3 linked regions of the Macaca fascicularis genome follow. The protein of the gene in region 1 interacts with the protein of each later gene in a pairwise test. Links are inferred from orthologs where the notes say so. Each region holds a gene or a part of one and is shown on either strand. Other genes may lie near its edges. The genes, in order: MAGEA4, UBXN6 and AMOT.

Region 1 (9,631 bases):
GGACTTCTGAGTCTGGGGCACCCACCACCCCACTGCCTCTGAAGTCGCAGGGGACTCTGGAATCAGAGCTTGGTGTGATCAGTGCAAGACTGGTGAGGGCAGGCTCTGCCGGGCATCAACCTCAGGACCATAAGGGAGGGGTGAGCGTACCCCACTCCTGTTCCCATCCCCCACCCGCATTCCCATCCCCCAGCCCGTTTCCATTCCCATTCGCACTCCCAAACCCATCCACACTCCCATCCCCCACCAGCACCGGTATATTCCCCAACCCCCCACCACCTTCATACTGCCATCTCCCACACAAAAATTCCCGCCCCCTCCACCAACGTCACCCCTCCCTCCCCCATCCACGTTGAATCCGGTTCCGCTTCCGCTTTCAACCCAAGAAAGCCCCAGGTGCCCGGATGTGAGGCCACTGACTTGCGCACTGCCGGTTAAGAGAGAAGTGAGCTGCTCTGTGTGACCGGCAGCTTGGGATTGGCGGAGGGAAACGGGACAGGCCCTGGGAGGAGTCAAGGTGAGACGCTGAGGGAGGACTCAGCAGGCCCCTACTCCAGGTAGACGACCCCAAATAATCCCGGACCACCCCTGCTGCCAGGCCTGGGCCACCCGTGGGCGGACTTCTGAGTCTGGGGCACCCACCACCCCACTGCCTCTGAAGTAGCAGGGGACTCTGGAGTCAGAGCTTGGAGTGATCAGTGCAAGACTGGTGAGGGCAGGCTCTGCCGGACGTCAACCTCAGGACCATAAGGGAGGGGTGGGCGTACCCCACTCCTATTCCCATCCCCCACCCGCATTCCCATCCCCCAGCCCGTTTCCATTCCCATTTGCACTCCCAAACCCATCCACACTCCCATCCCCCACCAGCGCCGGTATATTCCCTAAACCCCCACCACTTTCATACCGCCATCTCCCACACAAAAGTTCCCGCCCCCTCCACAACGTCACCTCTCCCTCCCCCATCCACGTTGAATCAGGTTCCGCTTCCGCTTTCAACCCAAGAAAGCCCCAGGTGCCCGGATGTGAGGCCACTGACTTGCGCACTGTGGGTTAGAGACAAGCGAGCTTCTCTGTGTGACCGGCAGCTTGGGATTGGCGGAGGGAAGCAGGCCCTGTGAGGAGTCAAGGTGAGACGCTGAGGGAGGACTCGGGAGTCCCCACCCCAGATAGACGACCCCAAATAATCCCGGACCACCCCTGCTGCCAGGCCTGGGCCACCCGTGGGCGGACTTCTGAGTCTGGGGCACCCACCACCCCACTGCCTCTGAAGTCACAGGGGACTCTGGAATCAGAGCTTGGGGTGATCAGTGCAAGACTGGTGAGGGCAGGCTCTGCCGGGCATCAACCTCAGGACCATAAGGGAGGAGTGAGCGTACCCCACTCCTATTCCCATCCCCCACCCGCATTCCCATCCCCCACCCGCATTCCCATCCCCCAGCCCGTTTCCATTCCCATTCGTACTCCCAAACCCATCCACACTCCCATCCCCCACCAGCGTCGGTATATTCCCCAACCCCCCACCACTTTCATACCGCCATCTCCCACACAAAAGTTCCCGCCCCCTCCACAACGTCACCTCTCCCTCCCCCATCCACGTTGAATCGGGTTCCGCTTCCGCTTTCAACCCAAGAAAGTCCCAGGTGCCCGGATGTGAGGCCACTGACTTGCGCACTGCCGGTTAAGAGAGAAGCGAGCTTCTCTGTGTGACCGGCAGCTTGGGGTTGGCGGAGGGAAACGGGACAGGCCCTGGGAGGAGTCAAGGTGAGACGCTGAGGGAGGACTCAGCAGGCCCCTACTCCACGTAGACGACCCCAAATAATCCCGGACCACCCCTGCTGCCAGGCCTGGGCCACCCGTGGGCGGACTTCTGAGTCTGGGGCACCCACCACCCCACTGCCTCTGAAGTCGCAGGGGACTCTGGAATCAGAGCTTGGGGTGACCAGTGCAAGACTGGTGAGAGCAGGCTCTGCCCGGCATCAACCTCAGGACCATAAGAGGGGGCTGAGCTTACCCCACACCTGTTCCCATCCCCCACCTCCTTTCCCATCCCCCACCCCGTTTCCATTCCCATTCACAACTCTTTCACTCTCCCACCCCCACCAGCAATCCTATTCTCCCCAACCCCCTACCACCCTCATACCACCATCTCCCACACAAAAATACCCCACCCCTCCACAAACCTAACCCCTCCCACCCCCATCCACGCTGATTCGGGCTCCGCTTCCGCTTTCAACCAAAGGAAGTCCCAGGTGCCCGGATGTGATGCCACTGATTTGCACATTGGAGGTTAGAGAGAAGCGAGCTTCTCTGTCTGACTGGCACCTTGGGCTTGGCGGAGGGAAGCGGACCAGGCCCTGTGAGGAGTGAAGGTGAGACGCTGAGGGAGGACTCAGGAGTCCCCACTCCAGATAGATGACCCCAAATAATCCCGCACCACTCCTGCTGCCAGCCCTTCGTTACCCATGGGCGGATTTCTGAGTCTGGAGCACCCACCACCCCCACTGCCTCAGAAGTCTCAGGGGACTCTGGAGTCAGAGTATGTAGTGATCAGTGCAAGACTCGTGGGGGCTGGGTCGGCCAGGCATCAACCTCACGACCAAAAGAGAGGGCTGAACGTACCCCAACCCTATTCCCCTTCCCTGATTCCCATCCTCCACCCTGTTCGCATTCCCATTCGCATTCCCAAACCCATTCACACCCCTATCCCCCACTAACCCCTATCCTCCCCAACCCCCCAGCACACTCATACCGCCATCTTATACCCAAAAATACCCGCCCCCTCCACCAACGTCACCCCTCCCACCCCCATCCACGTTGAATCAGGCTCCGCTTCCATTTCCAACCCAAGGAAGCCCCAGGTGCCTGGACGTGATGCCACTGACTTTTGCATTGGGGGTTAGAGAGAAGTGAGCTGCTCTGTGTGACTGGCACCTTGGGATTGGCAGAGGGAAGCGGGCCAGGCCCTGTGAGGAGTCAAGGTGTGACGCTGAGGGAGGACTCAGGAGGCCCCCACCCCAGATAGACGACCCCAGATAATCCCGGACCACTCCTGTTGCCAGCCCTGGGCCACCTGTGGGCAGACTTCTGAGTCTGGGGCACCCACCACCTCACTGCCTCTGAAGTCGAAGGGCACTCTGGAATCAGAGTATGGTGTGATCAATGCAAGATGGGCGGGGGAAAGGTTGGCCAGGCACCAACCTCACAACCAAAAGAGAGGGCTGAATGTCCCCCAACCCTATTCCCCTTCCCCACCCCCATTCCCACCCCCACCCTGTTCGCATTCGAACTCCTAAAAACCATCCACAATCCCATCCCCCACTAGCCCAGGTATATTCCCCAACACCCCACCACCTTCATACCACCGTCTCCCACCCCAAAATTCCCACCCCCTCCACCGTCACCCCTCCCTCCCCCATCCATGCTGATTCGGGTTCCGCTTCTGCTTTTAACCCAGGAAAGCCCCAGGTGCCCGGATGTGAGGCCACTGACTTGCACACTGGGGGTTAGAGAGAAGCGAGCTTCTCTGACCGGCACTTTGGGATTGGCAAGGGAAGGGGGCCAGGTCCTGTGAGGAGTGAAGATGAGATGCTGAGGGAGGACTCAGGAGTCCCCATCCGAGATAGACGACCCCAAATAGTCCCAGACCACTCCTGCTGCCAGCCCTGGGCCACCCATGGGCGGACTTCTGAGTCTGGGGCACCCACCACCCCACTGCCTCTGAAGTTTCAGGGGACTCGAGTCAGAGCTTGGGGTGATCAGTGCAAGACTAGTGAAGGCAGGCTCTGCCGGGCATCAACCTCAGGAGCATGAGAGAAGGCTGAGCTTACCGCACCCCTATTCCCATCCCCCACCTCCATTCCCATCCCCCCCCGTTTCCATTCCCATTCACAACCCTCCATCCCCCATCCCCCACCAGCAACCCTATCCTCCCCAACCCCCCACCACCCTCATACCACCATCTCCCACACAAAAATACCCGCTCCCTCCACCAACGTCACCCCTCCCACTCCCATCCACGCTTCCACTTTCAACCCAAGGAAGTCCCAGGTGCCCGGATGTGATGCCACTGACTTGCGCATTGGGGGTTAGAGAGAAGCTTCTTTGTCTGACCGGTACCTTGGGACTGGTGGGGGGAAGCGGGCCAGGCCCTGTGAGGAGTCAAGGTGAGATGCTGAGGGAGGACTCAGGAGGCCCCCACCCCAGATAGGCGACCCCAAATAATCCTGGACCACTCCTGCTGCCAGCCCTGGACCACCCGTGGGTGGACTTCTGAGTGTGGGGCACCCACCACGCCACTGCCTCTGAAGTCGCTGGGGACTCTGGAGTCACAGCTTGGGGTGATCAGTGCAAGACTGGTTAGGGCAGGCTCTGCCGGGCATCAACCTCAGGACCATAAGAGAGGGCTGAGCTTATCCCACCCCTATTCCTATCCCCCACCCCCTTCCCATCCCTCACGCTGTTCCCTTTCCCATTCCCATTCGCACTCCCAAACCCATCCACACTCCCATCCCTCTGCAGCACCCCATCCATCCTCCCCAATCCACCACCATCCTCATACCGCCGTCTCCCACCCCAAAAAGCCTGCCCCCTCCACCATCCTCATCCCTCCCACTGCCATCCACGCTGAATCGGGTTCTGCTTCCGCTTTCAACCCCAGGACGCCCCAGGTGCCCGGATGTGAGCCAATGACTTGCGCGTTGGGGGTCAGAGAGAAGCGAGCTTCTCTGTCTGACAGGGAGCTTGGGATTGGCGGAGGGAAGCGGGCCAGGCCCTTTGAGGAGTGAAGGTGAGATGCTGAGGGAGGACTTAGGAGGCCCCCACCCCAGATAAACGACCCCAAATAATCCCGCACCATTCCTGCTGCCAGCCCTGGGCCACCCGTGGGCAGACTTCTGAGTCTGGGTCACCCGCCACTCCACTGCCTCTGAAGTCACAGGCGACTCTCGAGTCAGAGCTTGGGGGGATCTGTGCAAGACTGGTGAGGGCAGGCTCTGCCAGGCGTCAACCTCAGGACTGTAAGAGAGGGCTGAGGGTCCCCCACCCCGTTCCCATTTTCATCCACACTCCCAACCCCATCTACACCCCCATTCCCCACCAGTACTCCTATCCTCCCCAAACTCCCACCACCCTGATATCCCCACCCCCAAACCTCTACCCCTATCCAGGCTGAATCACTGCCCTCATATCCCCACCCCAAAACCTCTACTCCCATCCAGGCTGAATCGGGTTCCAGTTCCACTTTCAACCCAGGGAAGCCCCAGGTGCCCGGATGTGATGCCAGTGACTTGCGCATTGGGGGTTAGAGAGAAGCTAGCTTCTTGGTCTGACAGGCAGCTTGGGCTTGGCAGAGGGAAGCCGGCCCAGGCTCTCTGAGGTGGCAAGGTGAGAAGCTGAGGGAGGACTCGGGAGACCCTCCCCACTGCAGATGGATGACCCCAAATAATCTAGCACCACTCCTGCTTTCAGCCCTGGGTCACTCGTGGGCGGACATCTGAGTCTGGGGCCCACCACTCCACTGCCGCTTAAGCCGCAGGGGACTGTTCAGTCAGAGCTTGGTGTAATCAGTGCAAGACTGGTGGGGACAGGCTTTGCTAACCTTCAACATCAGGACCCTAGGAGAGGGTGGAGCGTCCCCCACCCCATTCCTATCCCCTACCCTGTTCCCATTCCCATCCGCACTCCCAACCCCATCTGTACCCCCATCCCCCACCTGTGCCCCTATGCTCCCCAACACCCCCCACCAGCCTCATGCCCCCCACCTTCATCCCCATCCGTGCAGAATCTGGTTACACCCCTGCTTTCAATCCAGGCAAGCCCTGGGTGGCCGGATGTGATGCCACTGACTTGTGCATTGGGGATTAGAGGGAAGCGAGGTTCTGGTTCTGAAGAACGGCTTGAGATTGTCAGACAGAAGGGGGCCCAGGCTTTGTGAGCAGGCAGTCAGACTCTGAGGGAGGATTCAGGACACCCTTATCCCTGATAGAAGGTCCCAGCCCTGGACCATCGCGGAGGCTGACTTCTCAGGCTAGGCCGCCGCCTCCAGCTTCCCACCCCACCACCACCTGTCCCCACACCCGGTCCCCACAGGAGACTCTGGAGTCAGAGCGTGGTGTGACCATGGAAGGGATGCTTAGGAGAGGGCACTATCTGGGCTCTGCCAGGCATCAAGGTCAGGAATCTCAGGGAGGGCTGAGGGCCTCCAAGAGTCCACTGCAATCCCCACTCTCATGACCCACCCCCACTTCATTGCCATTCCCACCCCTATCCACCACTCCTATACCTCAACCCAGATCTCCTTCCGCTCTGCCTTTCCACCCACACCCCTCCCACCGGAACCCCCACCCTGGCAGAATACAGTTCAGCCCCTGCTGTCAATCCAGGAAAGTCCCTGGTACCCGAATGTGACGCCACTGACTTGCTCATTGGGAGTTAGAGAGAAGCAAGGTTCTCCTTAGGGGGAGCTTGACATCAGCAGAGAGAAGTGAGCCCAGGCTCTGAGGAGGCAAGGTGAGAGGCTGAGGGAGGTCTCAGAAGGGCCCCCCCCCAGATAGAGGGCCCCAATTAATCCAGCACCATCCCTACTGCCAGCCCTGGACCACCCAGGAGGCCGACTTCTCAGGCTGGGCTGCTCCCCACCACCGCCCCTGTTGCAACCCGTTTGTTTAAGCCACAGGAGACTCTGGAGTCAGAGGTTGGTGTGATCAGGGCAGGGCTGGTTAGGAGAGGGCATGGCCCAGGATCTGCCAGGAATCAAAGTCAGAAACCTGAGAGGGAACTGAGGTCCCCCAAGATCCCACTCTAACCCCCATTCCCACAAATCCCCTACCACTTCGCTGCCCCATTTCCCATTCCTTGCCCTCCAACCTCACCAGGCAGAATCCAGTTCCCCTTCTGCTATCAATCCAGGGAAACCCCAGACTTGGTGCTGGGACGTTTTGGGGGTCAGAGAGAATCGAGGGCATGGTCCTGAGGGGATAATTGAGATTGACTGAGGAGAGCAGGCCCAAGCTCTGTGACGAGGCAAGGTGAGACTCTGATGAAGGACTGAGGAGGCCCCCACTCCAGATAGAGGACCCCAAACAATCGAGCTCAGCCCCTGCTGCCAGCCCTGGACCACCCGGGGGAAGACTCAGGCTAGGCCGTCCCAGCTCCCACTGCCACTAAAGCCACAGGGGACTCGAGTCACAGCTTGGTGTGCCCAAGGCAGGGCCCAGGCTCTGCCTGGCATCAGAATCAGGACCCTGAGAGGGAATTGAGGGACCTACATTCCCACCCCTTTCACATTCCAGCATCCCCCCACCATCCAGATCCTCAACCCCATCCCCAATTCCGTTCTGCAGAATCCATTTTTTCTCCTGCAGTCAACCGACGGAAGACCTGGGAATGATCAGGCACTCGGATCTTGACATCCACATCCAGGGCTGAAGGAGGGAAGGGACTTGGTATCATGAGCAGAGCCTCAGGGTAGCAGAGGGAGGACCCTGGCTCTCCTGGGAGACGAGGAAGGACTCAGGAGACCCAGCATCCCAAGGCAGGGAGCCCACCCCACCCCGTCTGAGAATGAGGTGCCTCCTCTTTTAGCCTCGAGAATCCAAGGGATGGTGACTCAGGTCAGCAGAGGGGTGGGTTCCAGCCCTTCCAGGATCAAGGAAAGGAAGACGAGGGAGGACTCAGGGGTCCTTGCATTCCAGATCAGTGGACACCTGGGCCCTGGGAGGTCCTGAGCAAGGTAGCCACATGTAGCTCATGCTTCCTGCACCTTCGAGGTCACAGAGAGGAGAGGGCTATGGTCTGAGGATACCTGTGGCTCAGAAAGACGGGACCCCGCAGAGTCTGGCTGTCCCCTGTTCTTAGCTCGGGGGGACCAGAGCAGGGATGGCCTTATGTGCCAATCTTACTTGTACCATAGGCAGGAAGTTGGAGAACCTTCAGGAAGATGAGGTCTTGGAGTAAAGGGGCAATATCTGCTCATCTCAGGGGGTTGGGGGTTGAGGAAGGGCAGGCCCCGTTGGGAGCAAACATGAGTGACCCACAGGAGGCCATCAGAACCCTCACCCCAGGACCAAAGGGGTCAGCTGTGGACTCCCCGCACAGGGGTGACAGGATGTGGCTCCTCATTTCTGATTGCAGATCTCAGTGAGGTTAGGACCTTGTTCTCAGAGGGTTACTCAGGTCAACACAGACCTCTATCTGGTCAACAGACACAGTGGTCCCAGGATCTGCCAAGAGTCCTGGTGAGGAATGTGAGGGAAGATTGAGGGTACCACAGGGCCAGAACGCAGACGACGACTCCACAGAAATCAGCCTTGCTCCTGTTGTCACCCCAGAGAGCATGGGCTTGGCTGTCTGCTGAGGTCCCTCTCTTGTCCTGGGATCACTGATGTCACGGAGGGGGAGGCCTTGGTCTGAGGGGCTGCACCCAGGTCAGTAGAGGGAGGGTCCCAGGCTCTGCCAGGAGTTGAGGTGAGGACCAAGCAGGCTCCTCACCCAGGACACATGGGTTCCAATGAATTTTGACATCTCTTGCTGTCATTCTTCAGAGGACCTAGGCACATGTGGCCAGATGTGGGGCCCCTCATGTCCTGTTTCCTCTCAGGCATGTGAGTGCTTGATCTGAATTTCTCAGGCCAGCAAAACGGTGGAATCCAGGCCCTGCCTGGAGAAATGTGAGGGCCCTGAGTGACCACAGAGTGGACCATCCACTCTATGAGAGTGGGGACCTCACAGAGTCCAGCCTGCCCTCTTGATAGCACTGAGGGACTGGGGCTGTGCTTATAGTCGGCACCCTAAGGGCCCATGGATTCATCTCCTAGGAGCTCCAGGAACAAGGCAATGAGGCCTTGGTCTGAGACTTGTGTCCTCAAGTCACAGAGCAGAGGGTGCACAGGCTGTGCCAGCAGTGAATGTTTGCCCTGAATGCACACCAAGGGCCCCACTTGGCATAGGACACGTGGAACTCCAGAGAGTCTGACCTCACCTCCTGTTAGTCCTGCAGAATCGACCTCTGCTGGCCGGCTATACCCTGAGGTGCTCTCTCACTTCCTCCTTTAGGTTCTCAGGAGATAGGCCAACCCGGAGGACAGGATTCCTTGGAGATCACAGAGGAGCACCAAGGAGAAGGTCTGTAAGTAAGCCTTTGTTAGAGCCTCCAAGATTCGGTTCTCAGCTGAGGCCTCTCACATGCTCCCTCTCTCCCCAGGCCTGTGGGTCCCCACTGCCCAGCTTTTGCCTACACTCCCACCTGCTGCCCTGACCAGAGTCATCATGTCTCTTGAGCAGAAGAGTCAGCACTGCAAGCCTGAGGAAGGCGTTGAGGCCCAAGAAGAGGCCCTGGGCCTAGTGGGTGCGCAGGCTCCTGCTACTGAGGAGCAGGAGGCTGCTGCCTCCTCCTCCTCTCCTCTGGTCCCTGGCACCCTGGAGGAAGTGCCTGCTGCTGGGTCAACAGGTCCTCCCCAGAGTCCTCAGGGAGCCTCCGCCTTACCCTCTACCGTCAACTTCACTTGCTGGAGGCAACCCAATGAGGGTTCCAGCAGCCAAGAAGAGGAGGGGCCAAGCACCTCTCCTGACCCAGAGTCCTTGTTCCGAGAAGCACTCAGTAAGAAGGTGGATGAGTTGGTTCATTTTCTGCTCC
Region 2 (9,821 bases), on another chromosome or scaffold:
GGAGGCTGAGGCACGAGAATCGTTTGAATCCAGGAGGCAGAGGTTGTAGTGAGCCGAGAATGCACCACTGCACTCCAGCCTGGGTGACAGAGTGAGACTCCATCTCAAAAAGAAAGACAAACCTAGCTGGGAGAGAGGAGATACGGATGCATACACAATGGTGTGCCTGGATTCGGGGTATCAGAAGAGGGACTTCACTACTAGCAGTGGGCTCTGGGGACTCTGGGAGGGACCTGTACCACCTGGGCTTCCGATGGGGGGTGGCGCAGGCACAGGAAGCTACAGGTTGGGGCAGGAGCACACGGGGCGCCACTCACCGAAAGAATGGCTTCCTTGATGCGGGCGTCCCGCTGGTCCTTCCTCAGGGTGGCCCCAGTGAGCGGACAGGTGAAGTACACACCAGGCACGGCCAGGTGGGCAGAGCCTTCCTCTCTGGGCTCAGATACCTGGGGCGGTGAAAGTGTCCGAGTCTGGACTGTGGACAGAAGCCACCCCGAGCCTCGCCGAGCACCACAGTCCTGAGTGTGGCCCGCAGAACCAGACATCTCTAGCCCCCATGCTGTCCCTTCCACTTGGTGGCCATGGGAGACACCCTGGCCAAGTGACTGGATCCCTCAGCCTGTTCCCTGGTATGTCAAATGTCCCTGTGGGGCCTATTCAGAACTAAACAAGGTAAGGAAAGGAAAGCACGGAGCAGCTTCTGACACGCAGGAAGCACTCAGCAGACGGCAGCTGGGCTCCTGCTGGTCCTGTCCCCAAGCTGGTGAGGAAGGAGCTCTGTGTGGGAGTCCGTGGGCACAGTGCCCTGGACAAGGCCTGACTTTTGGGCCTCCGTTTCTAGGCCATCTCTAAGGTCCCTGCGTGCTAAAATTCACTGAATCCTCGAGGATCAAGCTGCTTAGAACTCCTTTCAGCAGAGCTCTCAAGGCCCACCTCCTACAGGAAGGCCTCCCTGATTCCACCCGTCTCCACGGAGCCCCTTGACCTCCAAGCCAGGCAGGAGCAGGCAGTGGTAGGGGACAGGCTCTGAAGCCACAGACTAGCCAGTCCTGTCTTTGCTGGTTCTGGGGGAATAGGAGAGAGGACAGCTGGTTTGACCTCTCTCAACCCCGGTTCTCTTTCTGAAAAGTGAGAACTGTAACTGCATCCACCTTAACGGGTTAAGGGGAAGGAGCGATGGGCTTATGTACCTGAGGCCCACTTCTCCAGGCCTGAGCCAGCATCCTCAGCTGCCGAGCCCCGAAGGTCCGGACAACACCATGTTCCACCACAACCCGCCTCCACCTTGCAGGGCAAGGTTTCCTAACCACCCTGGAGCCCCAAGGGCAGTGGCCACATCTCCCCCACGATGAAGTCAAGCTGTCCCCACCCCTCAGCGTGGGACAGTGCCACCAGTGGCTGTTCTTACCACGTTGGTCCCTGGGGCCTCGGGGCTCCCGCTGACGGTGGCTTCGGCTTGCAGTTCCTTTCTCACTGGAAGGCAGCCCAAGAAGGAGAAGCAGAGCCAGGGTGGTGAGCTCGCCTCTGTCCTGGCCCGAGCCCCCTCATTCCTGGGGTGGGCCCGTGAGCCATGCACAACACCCCAGCCTGCTGCTGCTGGAGGTCAGGCTGGAGGTCCCCTGCGGGACTCGCTCTGCACCCACCCCTCAGCCTGAGCCAGCACCCCACTGCCTGCGCAGTCCCTGTTTCTGCTCCAAGTCTCTGCTCCCACCCGCTCCCCAGGAAGCTGCCCTTCCCCCAGCACCTGCCCTTGGTGAGTCGCTCCCAAGGGTGACCCTCACACCCCCACAGCTGCTTCCAGGCCCTGGACTTCTGCGTCCAGGGCCAGGCACTAAGGCTGGGAACCTCAAACAGCCCCGACCTGGGCCCGGGGCGGGCCACATCTCACCCTGGTTTCGGATGCTGTCCTGCGACGTGGGGCCCCAGGCCCGGGACTGCTTCTGCTCCAGCCGGGCCAGGGCGGCAGCGGCCGCCATCTGTGCCTCATTGGTGGGTCCCTGGCGGGGCGGCCTCGGGGCCGGCTGGCTGGACTTCTGTTTGGGGGCCTTTTCCCTGGGGACAGACCGAGGGAGAGCGAGTGTATCCTCCTGAGGTGGCCGGCAAACCTGACGTGCGGTCACACAGGGGAGCTTCTGCTGCTCCCCAGCTCCTGCCACCAGCACCACCAGTCAGACGTGTCCCTGCCTATGCGGGCCAGGACGCCTGCTTCCCAGGGGCCACCCGCAGCCACCAGATGGTTCTTCTGCAAGCGGAAGAGCCCCTGGAGGAAGGAGATGCTGGTTCCGCTCAGTTCTGCACCACAGGGCAAGTCCTGCCCCACTGGGCCTCAGCATCCTCGTTTGTAAAATGGGGTGGCAGCACCCCTCCCGAGGCGAAGGCACCTTGATATCCTCAGGGCCTTTTTTTTTTTCTTTTTGAGACAGGGTCTTGCTCTGTCACCCATGCTGGAGTACAATGGCACGATCACGGCTCACTGCAACCCTGAGTTCCCAGGCTCAAGGAATCCTCCCGCCTCAGCCTCCCGAGTAGCTGGGACTTGGAGGCAAGCATCATCACGCATGGCTAATTTTTCTTTTTTTTTTTTTTGAGACGGAGTCTCGCTCTGTCGCCCAGGCTGGAGTGCAGTGGCCGCATCTCAGCTCACTGCAAGCTCCGCCTCCCGGGTCTACGCCATTCTCCTGCCTCAGCCTCCCGAGTAGCTGGGACTACAGGCGCCCACCACCTCACCCGGCTAGTTTTTTGTATTTTTTAGTAGAGACGGGGTTTCACCGTATTTAGCCAGGCTGGTCTCGATCTCCTGACCTTGTGATACGCCCGTCTCGGCCTCCCAAAGTGCTGGGATTACAGGCTTGAGCCACCGCGCCCGGCCACGCATGACTAATTTTTCTATCGAGACAGGGTCTCGCTGTGTAGCTCAGGTTGGTCTCGAACTCTTGGCCTCAAATGATCCTCCCACCAGGGCCTCCCAAACTGCTGGGACTACAGGCATGAGCCACAGCACCCAGCCCACATCCTCAGGAATTGAGGAGACTCAAGGGATGCCACATCCTCCCCCACTCCCTGCTGTGAGAGTCTCCACCCTCAGGTCACAGCTTCGTTTGCTGAGCACCTACTGTGTGCTGGGCCCCCTGCTGGGAGCCGGTCGGCTTGGTTGGTTGACTCCTCCTAACAAGCTGCCAGGGAGGCCTCACCATCCCGTTCCCAAACCCAAGAGGGTCAGGAAGTCCGGGCAATGTGCCCCATGCCACACCACCCTTGTGGCAGGACCCTGGGGTCAGCGGACAGCAGAACCAGCCTCGCCCTGGCCACTCCATGCCAGGCCCGGGGCTGTGCAAGTACCAAGAGCTCATGGACTCGCGGTTCCGCCCTGCTGAGCCCTACACCAAGGAGGGTTCCATAATCCACTTGGCACAGTGGCCTGGCAGAGAAGCCCTTTCTGCCAACCTGCTCGGATGCGTCTGTCTCGCCTGTCTCCTCTCGGGCCCCTCCCGTGAATTCAGGGACTGTGTCACTTTCCATGTCGTAAGTCTATTAAAACTTCCTGGAGGCCAGGCTCTCAGTTCAAGCCCTGTACTCCTCTGGCTCTGCTTAGATACTCGGGCAGCCCTCCCTCCTCGTCTCGAGGCTTAGCTTCGTGCCCACCCCTGCCTATCTAGTCCTCCCACAGCGCAGCATCTTGGGTGGAAGAGGAGATGACTCATGAAGACCCATCCCAGCCCCATCCGATATCTAGGTCTTTCCAACAAAATGGCATTTCCCAGGGCACCTCACCCCAACCGGTCATGGACCCTGCCCGCCCTGGGCAGCCACAGGGACCCTTCTGCAACCTCAGCCAGGGAGCGTCAGCATCACTCCACTGCACGACGCCCCCCCACCACGAAATCCTAAAGCCTCCCTCGGCCGGAGAGCCCTTCCCGGCCTGGCCCACTGCCCTCCCCTGGCCTGGCTCCCCTGGGCTCCCCGCGGTTCTTCCCATACCCCAGCTGCTCCCCGCCGCAAGGCCCTGCACTGTCTGCGCCTTATGCCCACAGTGTTCTCCTGCGGGGAGGGAGGAGGACAGGGGATCTGGAAAGGGCTAGAGCTGCCACAGGGAGAGAAGGAGGGGGCTGATTTCCCCACGGCTGAGTCTCACTGTGTCCTGGGAGAGGCCTTCCCAAACCACCTGATGGCGTCTGCTCACCCTCCTTCAAGGCCCTGGGTACCGCCTGAGCCCTCCTCTGAGGTCTGTTGGTTTATTTGTCCATCAGCTCCCTCTAGAAGGTGAGCCCTGGGACAGCAGAGGCCTTCTCCTGTCCACCACTGCAGCCTAAAACAGGACTTGGTGCCCACACGCCCCACACACCCTGGATATCCAGTCTCGCTCCAGAGAGGACCTCCGCACCCCTTCCCTTCCCGAGTCTCCCCTCTGACCTTCCCCTCTCCGCCAGGCTCTGGGCTGACCCAGCCATCACCCTGATGCCCTGCATCCTTCCTGTCACGCCCAGTCCTAACCCCATCCACTACTGGTTGAATCAATGAAGGGCTCCCCCCATTTGTCCACTTCTCTCCCTGACCCCCCTCCCTCTCTCACTCAGCCTTTGCTCTCCTGCTCTCCCCTAGGAACCCTGAATTCCTCGCTATGCCCCTACCTCCATCACCACCCCACCAACCCGTGATTCCCTGACCCCCACTTCCTGCCACCTCCCTGCCTCTCCTCCTACCCCCTCCCAGCCCCCACCCCTTCACAATCCCTTCCATTATTGCTTACAGACCCCTACCCTGGCTGCCTGGCTGACCTCCTTCCTCAGTCACTCTCCATCAGTCTCCACCACCCCCTGGCCAGCCAGCTCCCTGCAGCAGCCCCAGCTCTTCCAGCTTCCCTTTTCTCAGCCCAGCAGCCCTCAGCCTCGCACCCTCTCCAGCGCCACTTCTTTCCCGGCCCTCCACCTGCCCTCCCAGCTGGCTCAGCCCTGCTCAGGCCCTTCTCTCCAAGTCCTCCCTAGACGATCCGGAAGCCTGCCCGGCACTTATCTCCTTTCCCCTCCCCTCTCACCTCCATAATCCACTTGGCACAGTGACCTGGCAGAGAAGCCTCGCAGAGAAGGCCTTTCTCCCAACCTGCTCAGACGCGTCAATCTCGCCGGTCTTCTCCTCTCAGGCCCCTCCCGTGTCACAGTCCATCTGTCAGAGTCCCTCACCTCCAGTCTCCTCACACACCTTCCTCAGCCCCTCCCAGGTGACTGAAGACGCTACCCACCCCGGCCTCCTTGGCCTTCCAGACTCTTCCTGGTCTCCCATCAGCCTCCCACGTGCTCCAGATCCCAAGTCCAGAACCCCTCTTCCCATGGATGCCTCAGAACAACTCTCCACCACCCCACCCCACAGTTGTGCGTCTTCCTCCAAGCTCAGCTCTCATCCATGGTCACCTAGATTCCCCCAAATCATCCCGGCCACTTAAGGACCAGCCGGGTCCCCAGACCTCTCCCTTATCACCCGTCTCAGAACTGATCATCCCTTTTTTCCCCCAGGGTCGCTCCACTGACCCCCAACTTCCTGCAGCCCCGCCGCCCTAATCCCCCGCCACTGCCTCGGACCCTCCTGCGGCCCCGCCCCCGAGACATCCCCTCCCACCCGGCCCCCTTGCCCCGCCCCCTGCGCATGTTCCCCTCCCCCCGCCTCCCTTGCCCCGCCCCCGGCTCACACCCGCCCCCTCCTGCCCTGACCCCAGATCTCTCTCCCCTCCCCCTGACGCCCATCCTCGGCCCCGCTTGCCCCGCCCCCGGAGCCTCTCCCCCTCCCCTGACTCTCGGCTGCCGCTCCCCAGCCCCTCGCCCTCTCCGATCTCCCGAGCCGCCCGAGGCCCCAGACCCCTCTCCCCGGCCGCCCCTGCGTTCCTCACGCACCCCACGGACTCTGTGAGCTTCTGACCGGGTCCCGCGCTCTTGAACTTGATGTCGGCCTTGAACTCCTGAAAGAATTTCTTCATGGTGGCGGCTGGCCCGGCGGCGAGGGGCCGCGGGGGCGGGGGGCACAGGGCCCAGTCGGGGAGGGGCCGCCCGGGACCAGCCACCGGAAAAAAAATACCGCGCCGCCGGAAGTCCCGCCTTCCCGAGGCCGACCACGTGACAATAGGCTAGAAGTGCCTCTCTAGCGCTCGGTGCCTCGCTGGCCCAGGCGGCCGCTCTGTACGCTGGAGCCGCATCTCTGTGGTTCTTCGGGACTCCGTTGCCAGGGCGACGAGTGCGCCTCTCGATTAGAGTCAGTGCCTTGCCTGGCAGCTTCCGTGGCGCTCCCCAAACGGTGACAGACGGTGACAGGACGACTGAACCTCGCAGAGAAAGCACTGGGCCCTGTCCCTTTCGCTGCTCAACCTAAGCTGGGCACGGTGGCTCACGCCTGCAATCACAGCACTTTCGGAGGCTCAAGCGGGAGGATTGCTTGATTCCAGAAGTTGGAGACCAGTCTGGGCAACATGGCAAAACCTCGTCTCTATTTAAAAAAAAAAAAAAAAAAAGTAAAATAAAATAATAGCCGAGGGTGGTGGCGCGCACCTCTGAGCTACTTGGCAGGCGGAGGCGGGAGGACCACTTGAACCCAGGAGGTCGAGACTGCAGTGAGCTGTGATCAAGCCACCGCATTCCAGCCTGGGCAACAGAGAGAGACCCTGTCTCAAGCAAAACAAACAAAAATCCAACCTTCCCTGTCTCCCCAGAGCTTACGTGATAAAGTCCCAATTTAATGTGGGGTATTGGAGGCCCCCACCTTCTGGCCCTGTTTTGGTCCCTGAAGCCCCCCACCCCACCCCACCAACACCACCACCACCACCACCACCACTTACCCTAGGTAGAAGCTGTTTAAGAGGATGCATCCGATTGGGACCTGGGGATCCACTTTGGTGAACAAGACAGAGAAACCAGTTAATAGTGGCGTACTTTGGGCTGTGCGATTCGCAAAGAAGATACACAAAGTGACAGTTAAAACAAGCCTCCAAAGAAGGGAGTTGGGGGTCAGACGTGGTGGCTCATGCCTATAATGCCAGCACTTTGGGAGGCCGAGGCCGGCGGATCATTTGAGGTCAGGAGTTTGAGACCAGCCTGGCCAACATTGTGAAACCCTGTCTCTACCGGCGCCGGTAATCCCAGCTACTTGGGAGGCTGAGGCAGGAGAATCGCTTGAACCCGGGAGGTGGTGGTTGCAGTGAGCGGAGATCTCACCACTGCACTTCAGCCTGGGCAACAGAGGGAGACTGTGCCTCAAAAAAACAAAAACAGGCCGGGCGCGGTGGCTCAAGCCTGTAATCCCAGCACTTTGGGAGGCCGAGACGGGCGGATCACAAGGTCAGGAGATCGAGACCATCCTGGCTGATACGGTGAAACCCCGTCTCTACTAAAAAATACAAAAAACTAGCCGGGCGAGGTGGCGGGCGCCTGTAATCCCAGCTACTCGGGAGGCTGAGGCAGGAGAATGGCGTGAACCCGGGAGGCGGAGCTTGCAGTGAGCTGAGATGCGGCCACTGCACTCCAGCCTGGGCGGCAGAGCGAGACTCCGTCTCAAAACAAAAACAAAAACAAAAACAAAAACAAAAACAAAACAAAACAAAACAAAAAAGGAGTTGGAATGAGATTCACAGAGACTGAGGGAGGCGAGGCCTCCAGGTAAGGAAACAGCCCACTCTAAGACTGAAATTGAAATAACATGGGTCGGACAAGTGACTCAGGCCTGCAGTCCCAACATTTCGGGAGGCCAAGGTAGGAGGATTGCTTTAGCCCAGGAGTTTGAGGCTGCAGTGAGCTATGATCACACCACTACACTCCAGCCTGGGCAAAGAGCCAGACCCTGTCTTATTAAAAGAGGAAAAAAAATTGGGCTGGGCACAGTGGCTCACACCTATAATCCCAGCACTTTGGGAGGCCAAGGCGGGTGGATTACTTGAGGTCAGAAGTTCAAGACCGACCCAGCCAACATAACAAAACCCCATCTCTACTAAAAATCCAAAAAGTAGCCAGATGTGGTGGTGTGCGCCAGTAATCCCAGCTACTTGAGAGGCTGAGGTAGGAGAATCGCTTGAACTCAGGAGGTGGAGGTTGCAGTGAGTTGAGATTGCGCCATTGCACTCCAAAAAAAAAAAAAAAAAAGAACATACTGAGTTGATTGTACTACTCTTTTCTTTGTTGTTGCTTTTTTTTTTTTTTTGAGACAGTCTTTTTTTTTTTTTTAATTCTTTTTTTTTTTTTTTTTGAGACGGAGTCTCGCTCTGTGCAGTGGCCGGATCTCAGCTCACTGCAAGCTCCGCCTCCCGGGTTCATGCCATTCTCCTGCCTCAGCCTCCCGAGTAGCTGGGACTACAGGCGCCCGCCACCTCGCCCGGCTAGTTTTTTTTGTATTTTTCAGTAGAGACGGGGTTTCACCGTGTTAGCCAGGATGGTCTCGATCTCCTGACCTCGTGATCCACCCGTCTCGGCCTCCCAAAGTGCTGGGATTACAAGCTTGAGCCACTGCGCCCGGCCTTGAGACAGAGTCTTACTCTGTCGCCCAGGGTGGAGTGCAGTGGTGTGATGTAGGCTCACTGCAACCTCCGCCTCCCAGGTTCAAGCGAGTTTCGTGCCTCAGCCTCCTGAGTACCTGGGATTACAGGTATGCTCCACCATGCCCAGCTGATTTTTGTATTTTTAGTAGAGACGGGTTTTCACCATCTTGGCGAGGCTGGTCTCAAATTCCTGACCTCAAGTGACCCACCTGCCTCAGCCTCCCAAAGTGCTGGGATTACAGGCATGAGCCACTGTGCCCAGACTCTTTTCATCATTTCTTAATATTTTATATGGAAAACGACAGGCTGGAATCAGTGACTCATGCCTATAATCCCAGCACTTTGGGAGGCTGAGGCAGGCAGATTGCTTAAACTCATGAGTTGTTGTTGTTGTTGTTGTTGTTGTTGAGACGGAGTCTTGCTCTGTTTCCCAGGCTAGAGTTCAGTGGTGCCTGCGATCTTGGCTCACCACAACCTCCACCTCCCAGTTTCAAGCAATTCTCCTGCCTCAGCCCCCCAGGTAGGTGGGATTACAGGTGTTCACCACCACACCCAGCTAATTTTTGTATTTTTAGTAGAGGTAGGATTTCACCATGTTGGCCAGGCTGGTCTCCAACTCCTGACCTCAAGTGATCTGCCTGCCTTGGCCTCCCAAAGTGCTGGGATTACAGGTGTGATTGACCATGCCTGGCCAAACTAATGAGTTTGAGGCCATAATCGGCAACACGGTGAGACCTCTTCTCTACAAAAAATACAAAATATTACGCCAGTGTGGTGGTGCACACCTGCAGCCCCAGCTACTAGGGAGTGGGTGGTGGGAGGATCACTTGAGCCTAGGAGGTTAATGTTGCAGGGAGCTGTGATCCTGCCACTGCACTACAGCCTGGGTGACAGAGTGAGATCTTATCTTAACAAATAAAAAATAAAAAAGGAAGAAAAAAGATAAAAAAGAAAGGCAAAGTCTATTTCTTCTCTCTTTGATTGTCAGCTAGACTTTGTGACTCATTTTTAACAATAGAATAAGGCAGAAGCAACAATGTGGGACTTCTGAAACTAGGACATAAAATTCACTGATGCTTCCTCTTTGCTCTTTCTCTGGGCTCACTCACCTGGGGAAAGCCATCCGCCATGATGGGAGGAAGCTCAAGCAGCTCCACGGAGAGGCCCACGTGGTGAGGAACTGAGGCCTCCCGCCAACAGCCACATATAGCAGCCACCTCGGAAGGGGCTGGGTGACAGAGCAAGATCATGTCTTAAAAAAAAAAAAAAAAAAAAAGGGTGGACACAGTGGCTCACACCTGTAATCCCAGGACTT
Region 3 (9,760 bases), about 39 Mb from region 1:
CATGGTGAAGACCTCAGATGAAGAACCCATTACGCGTGGGCCATTCTGCTGCTGCACGTATTGTCTTTTATTTCACTGTCTAAAATCCTTAGTTTCTTTGCTATCTTTTAGTCTAATTTAAACGTATTATTTTCCATGCTATAAAACAAGTATATCTGTGCTGTCCTGCTTCTCCTTTCTCATTCTGAAGATTTCATAGTCCACCCAAATTTGTACTCACTTGATGGCATATCACTATACAGTGATTTAAAAATCATTGCCAATGATTTAGACAAGGTAAACAGTGGACCCTAGTTTTTGTTGCCGTTGTTGCTGTTGTTAACAAGAATGGGGGAGAGATAACAGGAGGTCAAAGGAATTAAATTAACAGCCTTGCTAGATACATGAACAATTCCCGAATCACAGAGTGTTTAGGGATTACTTATTATATCCATCAGCTTCTCCTGGCATTTGAGAAACAAAATATATGGGAGTCTTCATGTGTCCTCCATCAGATTCTGACTTCTTTCCTCCACATGGGTTTACAAAGCTAAGTCTTAGGTGGGCTCTTATTGAAAAGCAACATTGTATATATCTGTGGCTCCAATTTTCTAAAATTCATGTTAGTACAGGAACCAGGACTTGAAAGGAACTAGAAAAAATGAAAGCAGGTGATCTGTTAGGATGATGGAATTCTTGAAGTTTTGGATAGAGTCTTAGCTTCTTTTTTTTTTTTTTTTTTTTTGAGACGGAGTCTCGCTCTGTCGCCCAGGCTGGAGTGCAGTGGCCGGATCTCAGCTCACTGCAAGCTCCGCCTCCCGGGTTCACGCCATTCTCCTGCCTCAGCCTCCCGAGTAGCTGGGACTACAGGCGCCCGCCACCTCGCCCGGCTAGTTTTTTGTATTTTTTAGTAGAGACGGGGTTTCACCGTGTTAGCCAGGATAGTCTCGATCTCCTGACCTCGTGATCCACCCGTCTCGGCCTCCCAAAGTGCTGGGATTACAGGCTTGAGCCACCGCGCCCGGCGAGTCTTAGCTTCTTAATGTTGGGTTGTTAAAATATAAAACATGATGCATCTATATTCATATATCCTTACAGGATCTTTTTTTTTTTTTAACATGATGACTAGATGATTGAATTTCTAACAACGGTTGCACTTCATTCTAGTAGCAATCATTCACATTCATACTCGATATTGAGGCTTAGAAAGAAAACCATAAACTTATGAGAACTGGCTCTCAAAATCACCCTGTCCAAATCCACAATTTACAGTGGAAAAAAAAAAAAACTTAACAGAGGTAGTAAACCGAGTTACGGTTGGGCCTAGAGCCCAGGTCCTTCTCACCAGTAGGCTCACTAGGAAATCTTATTGCAGATTCTTAGGTTAAAAGTGGCATCAGGAGCCATTATTTACTAGAAATAACTTTCTAGATCCCTGGGTTAGTAAAACACAGTAACTGGAAATAAAATATTTTACCTATATGGGGTGGATAGTCTCATCCTTAGAATTGTTCAAAATCTATAAAGTCTGATTTATTTTCAAAAAGTAATACTAGCTTTCTTCTGCAAGCAGTTGTAGGCCGGAGCTAACGTGGCCAGCATTATTACAAGCCAGGATGATTTAGACAATTAACTAACTCCATTCCATATAACAAAAAGATTTCAAAGGCCAAATAATGGCCTCACTTAATTTAAGTGATAATCATTACAAATTCTTATGTATTCCTTTATGCAATAAATATACTTCCGAGAAGGCCCAGTTAGAGTGAATTTTTATATATCAAGTCATAGTTTAAAGGCACTAACTAGGAAAGCTAGTACTTACAAAGAAACCTGTTGTGGATTCTTTTATAAAGCAAATGACTTCTTTTTCTTTTTCTTTTTTTTTTTTTTTTTTTGTTCAGATTGTGTGTGTTGTGTGTGGAAGGGGCGACTTCCCTCCTTTCTCTGGGTTAAAAGGGGTCAGAAGCCCACCATGGAGGAGAGTAATGTAGTATGGCTAGCCTGTTTAATACCCCCTTAGTTCCTGGGACAAAATTCTAACCTTTGACTTGGGGGTGGAACCCTAGATTTTGGACCAAAGTCCACAAAAGGCGGCAAGGAGGGAAAAGTAAGTAAGACTAAAGACAACACATCATAGTAAAACACCAACAAAAATTCCTGGGGACAGGAAATCAATGGATCACAATTCTAAACAAATTGGTTTAGTCCCCAGCTAATTAACTTGTCAAGCAGATCACTAAACCTACTGAATCCATGGGAGAAAGAGATGATGTAATAGGAGATTTGGAAACATTTACCCATTTACCATCCTAAAAGGCTCCACTACGACCACACACACCTCTCCCTACCCCTTTCAGTGTGTTTAAGCTGGGCTTAATGGGTGCAAAGGACAATTTCTACCAGACAGTCCCCAAGAATAGACTGTTCTCATGCATTCCAAATGCTCAGTCTCCATGGAGGAGGCTACCTGGTCGCAAGCATTTCCCAAGAGGGAATATATCCTCTATTTCTCCTCATTGGTAACAACTCCCCCACTCCACCCCCATGCCCCAAACAAAACAAAACAACTTCTAACCATCCTGAGAACTTCAGGCGACTTTTCTGGGGTAAAGGAAAAGAAGCGTTAAGAGGGGAACAGGAAAGTGTGAGAAACCCCTCTTGTCTCCAAATGGAAAAAAAGGCCTTAAAAAGCTGGATCAAAAGAAGAAAGGGGGATGGGGAAGAAGGGCCGCTTAATTACAAAGACACCCTTTTAAAGAAGGCGCAGGCCCTGGGAGAGGGCTCTTGGGAGAGGCACAGAAGCAGATGTACCCACTTAGAATTCTGGCACTCAATGGGACCTCAAGGTCATAGTATCCATCCCCCTGCCTTCTGATTAGGCTATTCTTAAAGCATTCTAGAGTCTGATGCGGTCTTTACAAAACCTCAGAAAGAAAAAGCAACTCTACAAATGTCCTAGTTGGGAATTAGTCTAATAAATCCAAATTCATAAACCAGAAATGAGATTTTAATTTCCAAATCCAAAACTGCATCGACTATGAATTATTAAAATTCCCTTTCTAAAATCTTTTAAATAGGTAAACAGATCTGCAAATTTCATGTAAAAGTGACTCCACATCCAATCGTGGTCAGAGGCTTACTTCACATCTAGACCATGAAGGTAGAAAAAGCACTTTCAATTTTACAAAGTCACAAACTTTTCCAAGGAAAGAAGTAATTTAAAATGAAGTATGATGTAGTGCCAGAAAGTGTCTGTCAATGACGCCGGATAAACCCATACAGAATAGTTGGAACCTGAGTTATCATCTGTAAATAGAGGCAACTACTCTACAACCACCTGGCTGTTAAAATGTCCCAGGCTAGTTATAAAATGTAGTTTGGTCAGGCCAGCTTTTCCCTCCCAGCTGATCTGAAACAGGATAGCCTTTAAAATTGTCACCCTGTAACGTTCCTTCTTTACCTTCCTACTTTCCTTTCCCTCATTAAAATCAACCAAAGTTAGTTTTAAATGTATGTAAATAATGTGTTCCCAAATAAGCAATAGGTTAAGGACATCTCAGTAATAAGTCTTTGAACACCATCACTTACAACCTTGACGCACTTGTCCAATTGAAGATAGGTGGGAGATGGATGAAAATGTATACCACATTCAAAATGGCATTTCAAACTATTCTTAGCTACTAAATGAGGGTGCTGAAAGGTCTAACTGAGAAGGCTTCACAAAGGCTGGCCTGAGAAAGAACTTTTCACAAAGCGTAGCTCAAGGAGACTTAAATACCCTTAGCCCTTCATCATTGAAGATTATGGTGACTAATTATCTTCCTCTCTCAATGGGAGAAGAGGGTTATATTCATAAAAGTTTTAAACTGCCTCCCAACTTCCACTCTTCATGGCGGGGAGGGAGGATAACTGAACTAAACATCCCAGGTTGTTGAAAAATTCGTTCTAAAACATACACTAGAGATTGAAAATGCTGTTTCTCACCAACTTTCTCTTTCCTTGCTCATTTAATTCTATTTAGTCCCTTTATGCAAATTATTATATTATTATTAGTGGCAATTTACCAGGAACTGCTCACAGTCTATTGAAGACTGTTATTTTCCCTCCCACTTTTCTTTCTCTTCATTTTCACATACCCATGAAGCCCATCTTACTGTCGAAGCACCAACGTGCAGTGGCCCAGGCTTGGACCCTCAAGACACCTGCCTGATCCCCCAAAACTATTTACTAACATCTTTGGATCTTCTAAGCAGATAGGGGCAACTCTCTCCTCACCATTACTATCACCACCACAGGCACCACAAACACCACCACACATCTCAAAGAGTAGCCTTGTGTTTTAGATTACACAGACTTTAAAACTTCAAGAATTCACGGTCCTACCCCTCCTGCTCCCGCCTCAGGGAGTGTGAGTCCCCACCCCAAGCCTAAGCACTTAGGAGAAACCTATCTAGTTATCTGAGATAAGCACTGACATGCATGCTGGGCTAAATGTAGATTTCAGCTTCCCTCGGGTCTTTAGCTCCTCCATGTGATTAATTACCTAGAGACCCACAAGAACCCCAGGAGGTAAGGAAGTAAAAGTACCAACTAGTAGTGGTACCCACTAGCATCTCCTCACCTAAGTAGGACGGGAAAGCAGCGCACACTCTAACCGATTTAACTTGCTGCACATCCAAAAAAACTAATGGCGAGCTGCAAAGAAAGTAGAACACACGGACGTTCCCACACGCGCCTAGATCGATTCACTCACGCCGAGGGCACGACCAAGTTCATGCCACCATGGATTCCTGCCCCAGTTCCCCGCGAAAAGTAACCACGCGTCTCCTACCCCTGAAGGCAACGAAGACAAGGTGACGACTCTCTGCTCGCTCAAGTGGCTTCGGTCCCGGGCCAGCGGCCAGGGATGGGCAGGGGGGAAGCCCCAACTCCCGGCTGCTCCCCTCCTCGCTGCTCCGTCCGGGCTCTCCTTGGTGGCAGTGGACAGGCAGGATACCGGGCCAGAGGGTGGAGCAGCGGATGGTCGGAGGCGAGACTGACTGGAGGTGGTGGTAGTTGGGGGGGAGGCGGAGAGAACTAAGAGAAGAGGAGGCGAAAGAGAGAGGAGACGGAGGAGTAATTCAGAGGGTCTACCAGTTTAGGCAGCCAGAAAGCTCCTCGGAAGGAAGGGGCGTGACTGCCAAGGCAGCTCCTGGGCAAAGGATGGGAGGTAGGGGAGGGGGACGCACGGGTGGCTTTTCTTCTTGCGGTGAGCGGCTAGGACCGCCCCGGAGCAGGGCGGGGGGGGTGGACTAGGGAGGAAGGCGGAGTAGAGGGCGGGGAAAGAAGGGCGGGAGCCTGCCTGGACCCTGGAAGTGAGGAGTGGGGGGAGCGCGGAAGAGAGGCGGGGCCGGGGGGCGGGGAAGTTTCAAACAATTGAACCGCGGGGTCCGGGAGCTCCGGCGAAAGCAGGGGACCCTCGCTCTCGCCTTCCCACTAGAGGGGCACGACTCGGTTGCCGTAGCCGTGAGAGTCTGCGCCGTGACTGGCTGGGAAGAAGGAAAGGGTTTTGCAAAAGACTACAATAATAATCTGCGGCAACTGCGCGGCATAGTCGCGTGGGAGAGGCAGTGCAGCTCCCCGCCCCACTGCTGGAGGAAGAAAAACAAATAATAGAAATGCTGAAAAGCACCTTCCACCAAAGACTGCTTAAAATAATGCAGGAAAGTGCAGTGCTCCTTCGTTTTCCTTCCCCTCTTGCTTCCTATTACCAGCAGGCTCCCACCGAGGTCACAGCTCTGCGAGACACCCTCCTTTCTTCCTCCGCTCCCCCACCCCGGGCGCTTGCCCGGCTCCCGTTGGCGGGCCGCAGAAGCTGAGGGGCGAGGGAGGAGGGGTCGTGGGCGGGGCTCTGCAGAGGCTCCGCCCCTGGGCGGGCTGGAAGCGCCGGCCTGGGCGGAGTGGGCCCCTGAAGCGTAAGTCCCGCCCACCATTCTTTTGCAGCTACCCGTTGGCCCGGCCTGGCCTAGTATACGCTTGCGATTGGGCCCTGGAGTCGCCAGTCTGATCCCTTTGTCCCACCCGTCCTCAAAATTAATAAAACTAAACAAGAGGCTATTGTGTAGTTCTGTGTTCTACCCCAGCTACTGCTGGGAAGAGAAAGATGAGACGCTTTATTTCTCAGTCTCATAAAAGAATGCAACAGTGTGTCGGTCGACTCTGGTACGCCTTTATGTTTATGGTAGTGTCCAGCTCTCTGCGAATAGGTAACTTTTCTTCCCCCTTAATTCATTAAATCAGGAGGGGGGAAAGTACATGAAGTGTCGTTGTGGTGTTCTGCTGGCTGCGAAAAAAACTGACATTGGTTAAAAACAAGAGAGGGCTGAGAACAGCATCCTGGGACACGGAAAATCTACCATTTTACATCTGGGAAAACGAAGGCACAAAGAAACAGTGTCCGCGTAGCAAAATAACACGGAATTTGGAACCAAAGGAAGAATTCATTTGGGGCCCTGGCACTTGCTAGCTAATTGTGTGACTTCTGTTAAGTGGCTTAACTTCTCAGCCTTAATTTTTCTACCTGTAAATAAATGCTATGAGACATGCCCTATTAACTTAAAGACACTGGTGTGAAAATGTGTGTGAAAACTATAAAGCACTCCACATATGTATGTGTTCCTACTTGTGTATGACACATAATGGAGAGTCTTAGATGTGTTAGGGGACCAATATTCTGCTCATCTGTTTTAAGCATTTACATCCAAGGTCGTGTAGGTTTTGTGGCTTTATTTTAAAAAGTCAACTCTTTTCCTACAATTTTGGGGTGGATATGAAGTTGACTCCCTGCAGTTAGAATAATAAATTACCCCTTTTCTAAGCAGGGTGGGTGAGATTTCTTTTTTAACGTTCAACAGTTTCATGACAACTTAAAGCTATTGTGGTTCTGGTACTGAAAGAGGAAATCATGCTGTGTATCTCCGAAGTGAACTTGAGAAAACAAATATGAAGGAACATTTACCATGGAAACCACCATTCTCTACAGATCCATATTTCCTAGAAAACATTTCAAGTAGGAAACAAGCCTAAATGTAAAGGCCTTGACAGCGCAAGGCTATTATAATGACTCATGCCAATGAAAGAGTGACATCCAATTCAAGCCTGCCTAATGGGAGCCATCTGGGGGGCCGTGGATCAAGGCATGCAAGAGGAAGTGTGCTTAAAGGAAACACTATCACACAGTAAATAGGGGCTCAGAATCCAACTCTGACTTCAGGAAAAGTAGTGGACGATTGCATGTCATGGAGTGTGCAGGAGCTGTGGAAAGATTCAGAAGCAGGAGTGTGCACAAAATGATTATCGTTATGGTTCTGTTTATGTATGAAGTGAGGTTATTTGGGTAATTTTTCATGGAGAAAGGGAGTTTTTGAATGTTCAAGATATGGAGACACCTGGTTTGTGAAGCAAGGAAAGATTATTTCAGCCTTGTTATTTGGAGTAGACAGGAGAGCTAGATGGGGGGCCAGGTATATGCTGCAGGACTACTACCCTACCTATCACAGTGGCAACAGGATATTTGTTAAAATCAATGCTGTACAAGTGAAAAAAGTTAAACATGCACATGGAAAAATTCAGATAAAACAGTACTGGTCTGGGCACGGTGGCTCATGCCTGTAATCCCAGCACTTTGGGAGGCTGAGGCGAGTGGATCACTTGAGGTCAGGCGTTGGAGACCAGCCTGAACAATATGGTGAAACCCCGTCTCTACTAAAAATACAAAAATTAGCCGCAGGTGGTGGCACGCGCCTGTAGTCCCAGCTACTTGGGAGGCTGAGACAGGATAATTACTTCAACCTGGGAGGCGGAAGTTGCCGTGAGCTGAGATCGCGCCACTGCACTGCAGCCTGGGTCAGAGAGCGAGACTCGTCTCAAAAAAACAAAACAAAACAAAACAAAAACACCAAACAAAAAAGTACTGAAAGACTACAATGAAAAAGTTCTTCTCCACCACTCTGCTCCCATAGTCCCATTCTCTTTATGACTGTATGTCATCTTACAAATAGATTATTTGCATATTCAAGCGTGAGTGCATATTCCCTTTTTGTTCCTTACAAGTGGAATCATTAATCATGGCACACCTTGCATTTCTATACTCAATAATGTATTTGAAATATTCTTCCATCTCAGGATAACTATGTTTACCTTATTTATTTTATTATAACTTAGTATTCTATTGCATAGCTGTGCCAAAATTCCTTTACTCATGACTCATCCCCTTATTAAATGGGGATTTGGGAGCCAGACACGGTGGTGGCACATGCCTATAGTTCAAACTACTAGGGAGGTTGAGGGAGGGGAATCCTTTGAGGCCAGGAGTTCAAGGTCAGCCTGGGCAACATAGCAAGACTCTATCTCTAAAAAAGAAATGGAGGCAAATTTGGGCTATTTCCCATATTTTGCTACTATGGAAGATGCTATTTAAAAAAAAATCCTGGTAACAAAGGCCTGGTGGCTACATTTGTAGTATGCCTGCCCCTAGTCTTGAAGTTACCTTCAAAACACTTTTCTAACATGCTTTCCTTTCCCCACAGTGACTGGTGCTGTAGAGCAATGGACTGGAGCAATGGAAACCTCTAAAACACTTAATTCCTTTAACATCCACTCATCAAACCCTGCTTGGTTATTACTCTTCTCCAAATTTTGATGGAGTAGAGTTAGCAGAACTCTGAACTTAATGGTGAGTCACGCTGTGTGCAAGTCACTTCTTAACCTGTGGCAAACAGTTTTTTGGCACTTCTGTTTAACCCAGGTCTTCCAAGCCTTCTATCCTGCCACGCAAGACTTCTTTGTTTTCACCCTGAAAACCTTTCAGTTTGTTTAAACCGAGTTGAGTTTGGATTTAAAGCTATGCATTGCCTGCGCTACTTAAAAGAGAGGGGGAGGGGGAGGCCAACATCAACAAACATTGATTGAGCTGTTATTATAGACAAGACTGAAAAAACAGGCATGAGACTTAGCTCCTGCCTTCAAGGATATAAAAAGACAACTAACAAGCATGTGCTAAGTGCCAAATGAATGGTATTGACAGTAAAAGCTGTGGAAGTTAAGAGCAGAGAGTGAAAACTAGTTCCAGAGAGTTCGTTTTTACAACAAACTGTGCCACACACATTTGACTAATCCCCACAGCATCCCTGTGTCTTCATATCCTGACTATAAAGTATAGAAAGCCCTCTGGGGAAGACCAGGAAAATTAACCACTAGCTGTAAAACACCTGTGTAAAGACACTGAGTTGCCTAGATACTATACATTAAAAACCTCCATATAACGATATGGAAAAAAGGAGGATCATTTTAAGCTCAGAAGTCAAGATTCCTCATCCCAAACTACCTGTCTTGTTTGACTTTTATTTTTTATTTATTTTTTATTTTTGGGGGACAGAGTCTTGCTCTGTTGCCCAGGCTGAAGTGCAGTGGCGTGATCTCCTCTCACTGCAAGCTCCGCCTCCCGGGTTCACACTATTCTCCTGCCTCAGCCTCCTGAGTAGCTGGGACTACAGGCGCCCACCACCACGCCCGGCTAATTTTTTGTATTTTGTTTAGTAGAGAAGGAGTTTCACCGTGTTAGCCAGGATGGTCTCAATCTCCTGACCTCATGATCTGCCCACCTCGGCCTCCCAAAGTGCTGGGATTACAGGCGTGAGCCACCGCACCCGGCCGACCTTTATTTTTTTTCTTAAAATATGCCTTTATTGCACAATAAAAATCAACATCTGTGCTGTACAAAATAAAGTCCATTGAAAAA

Evidence for each region.
Region 2: the proteins of MAGEA4 (region 1) and UBXN6 interact in binary tests that used the Homo sapiens proteins (3 or more experiments, as listed by UniProt). The two-hybrid records come from large-scale screens. The link is inferred for Macaca fascicularis from reciprocal best matches to the Homo sapiens genes MAGEA4 and UBXN6.
Region 3: the proteins of MAGEA4 (region 1) and AMOT interact in binary tests that used the Homo sapiens proteins (3 or more experiments, as listed by UniProt). The two-hybrid records come from large-scale screens. The link is inferred for Macaca fascicularis from reciprocal best matches to the Homo sapiens genes MAGEA4 and AMOT.

Annotation. Positions count from the first base shown.
Region 1 is NC_088395.1:157,988,275-157,997,905, forward strand, and holds the start of MAGEA4 (melanoma-associated antigen 4), read left to right. Parts: upstream 1-4,146; 5' UTR 4,147-4,163; intron 4,164-4,767; exon of another isoform or gene 4,768-4,786; intron 4,787-9,051; 5' UTR 9,052-9,120; exon of another isoform or gene 9,121-9,124; intron 9,125-9,199; 5' UTR 9,200-9,264; coding exon 9,265-9,631. UniProt on the Homo sapiens protein: Regulates cell proliferation through the inhibition of cell cycle arrest at the G1 phase. Also negatively regulates p53-mediated apoptosis.
Region 2 is NC_088393.1:5,193,377-5,203,197, forward strand, and holds the start of UBXN6 (UBX domain-containing protein 6), read right to left. Parts: upstream 6,082-9,821; 5' UTR 5,966-6,081; coding exon 5,883-5,965; intron 5,119-5,882; exon of another isoform or gene 5,033-5,118; intron 2,053-5,032; coding exon 1,889-2,052; intron 1,474-1,888; coding exon 1,409-1,473; intron 447-1,408; coding exon 318-446; intron 1-317. UniProt on the Homo sapiens protein: May negatively regulate the ATPase activity of VCP, an ATP-driven segregase that associates with different cofactors to control a wide variety of cellular processes.
Region 3 is NC_088395.1:119,347,205-119,356,964, forward strand, and holds the start of AMOT (angiomotin), read right to left. Parts: upstream 5,839-9,760; 5' UTR 5,654-5,838; intron 5,194-5,653; exon of another isoform or gene 4,814-5,193; intron 1-4,813.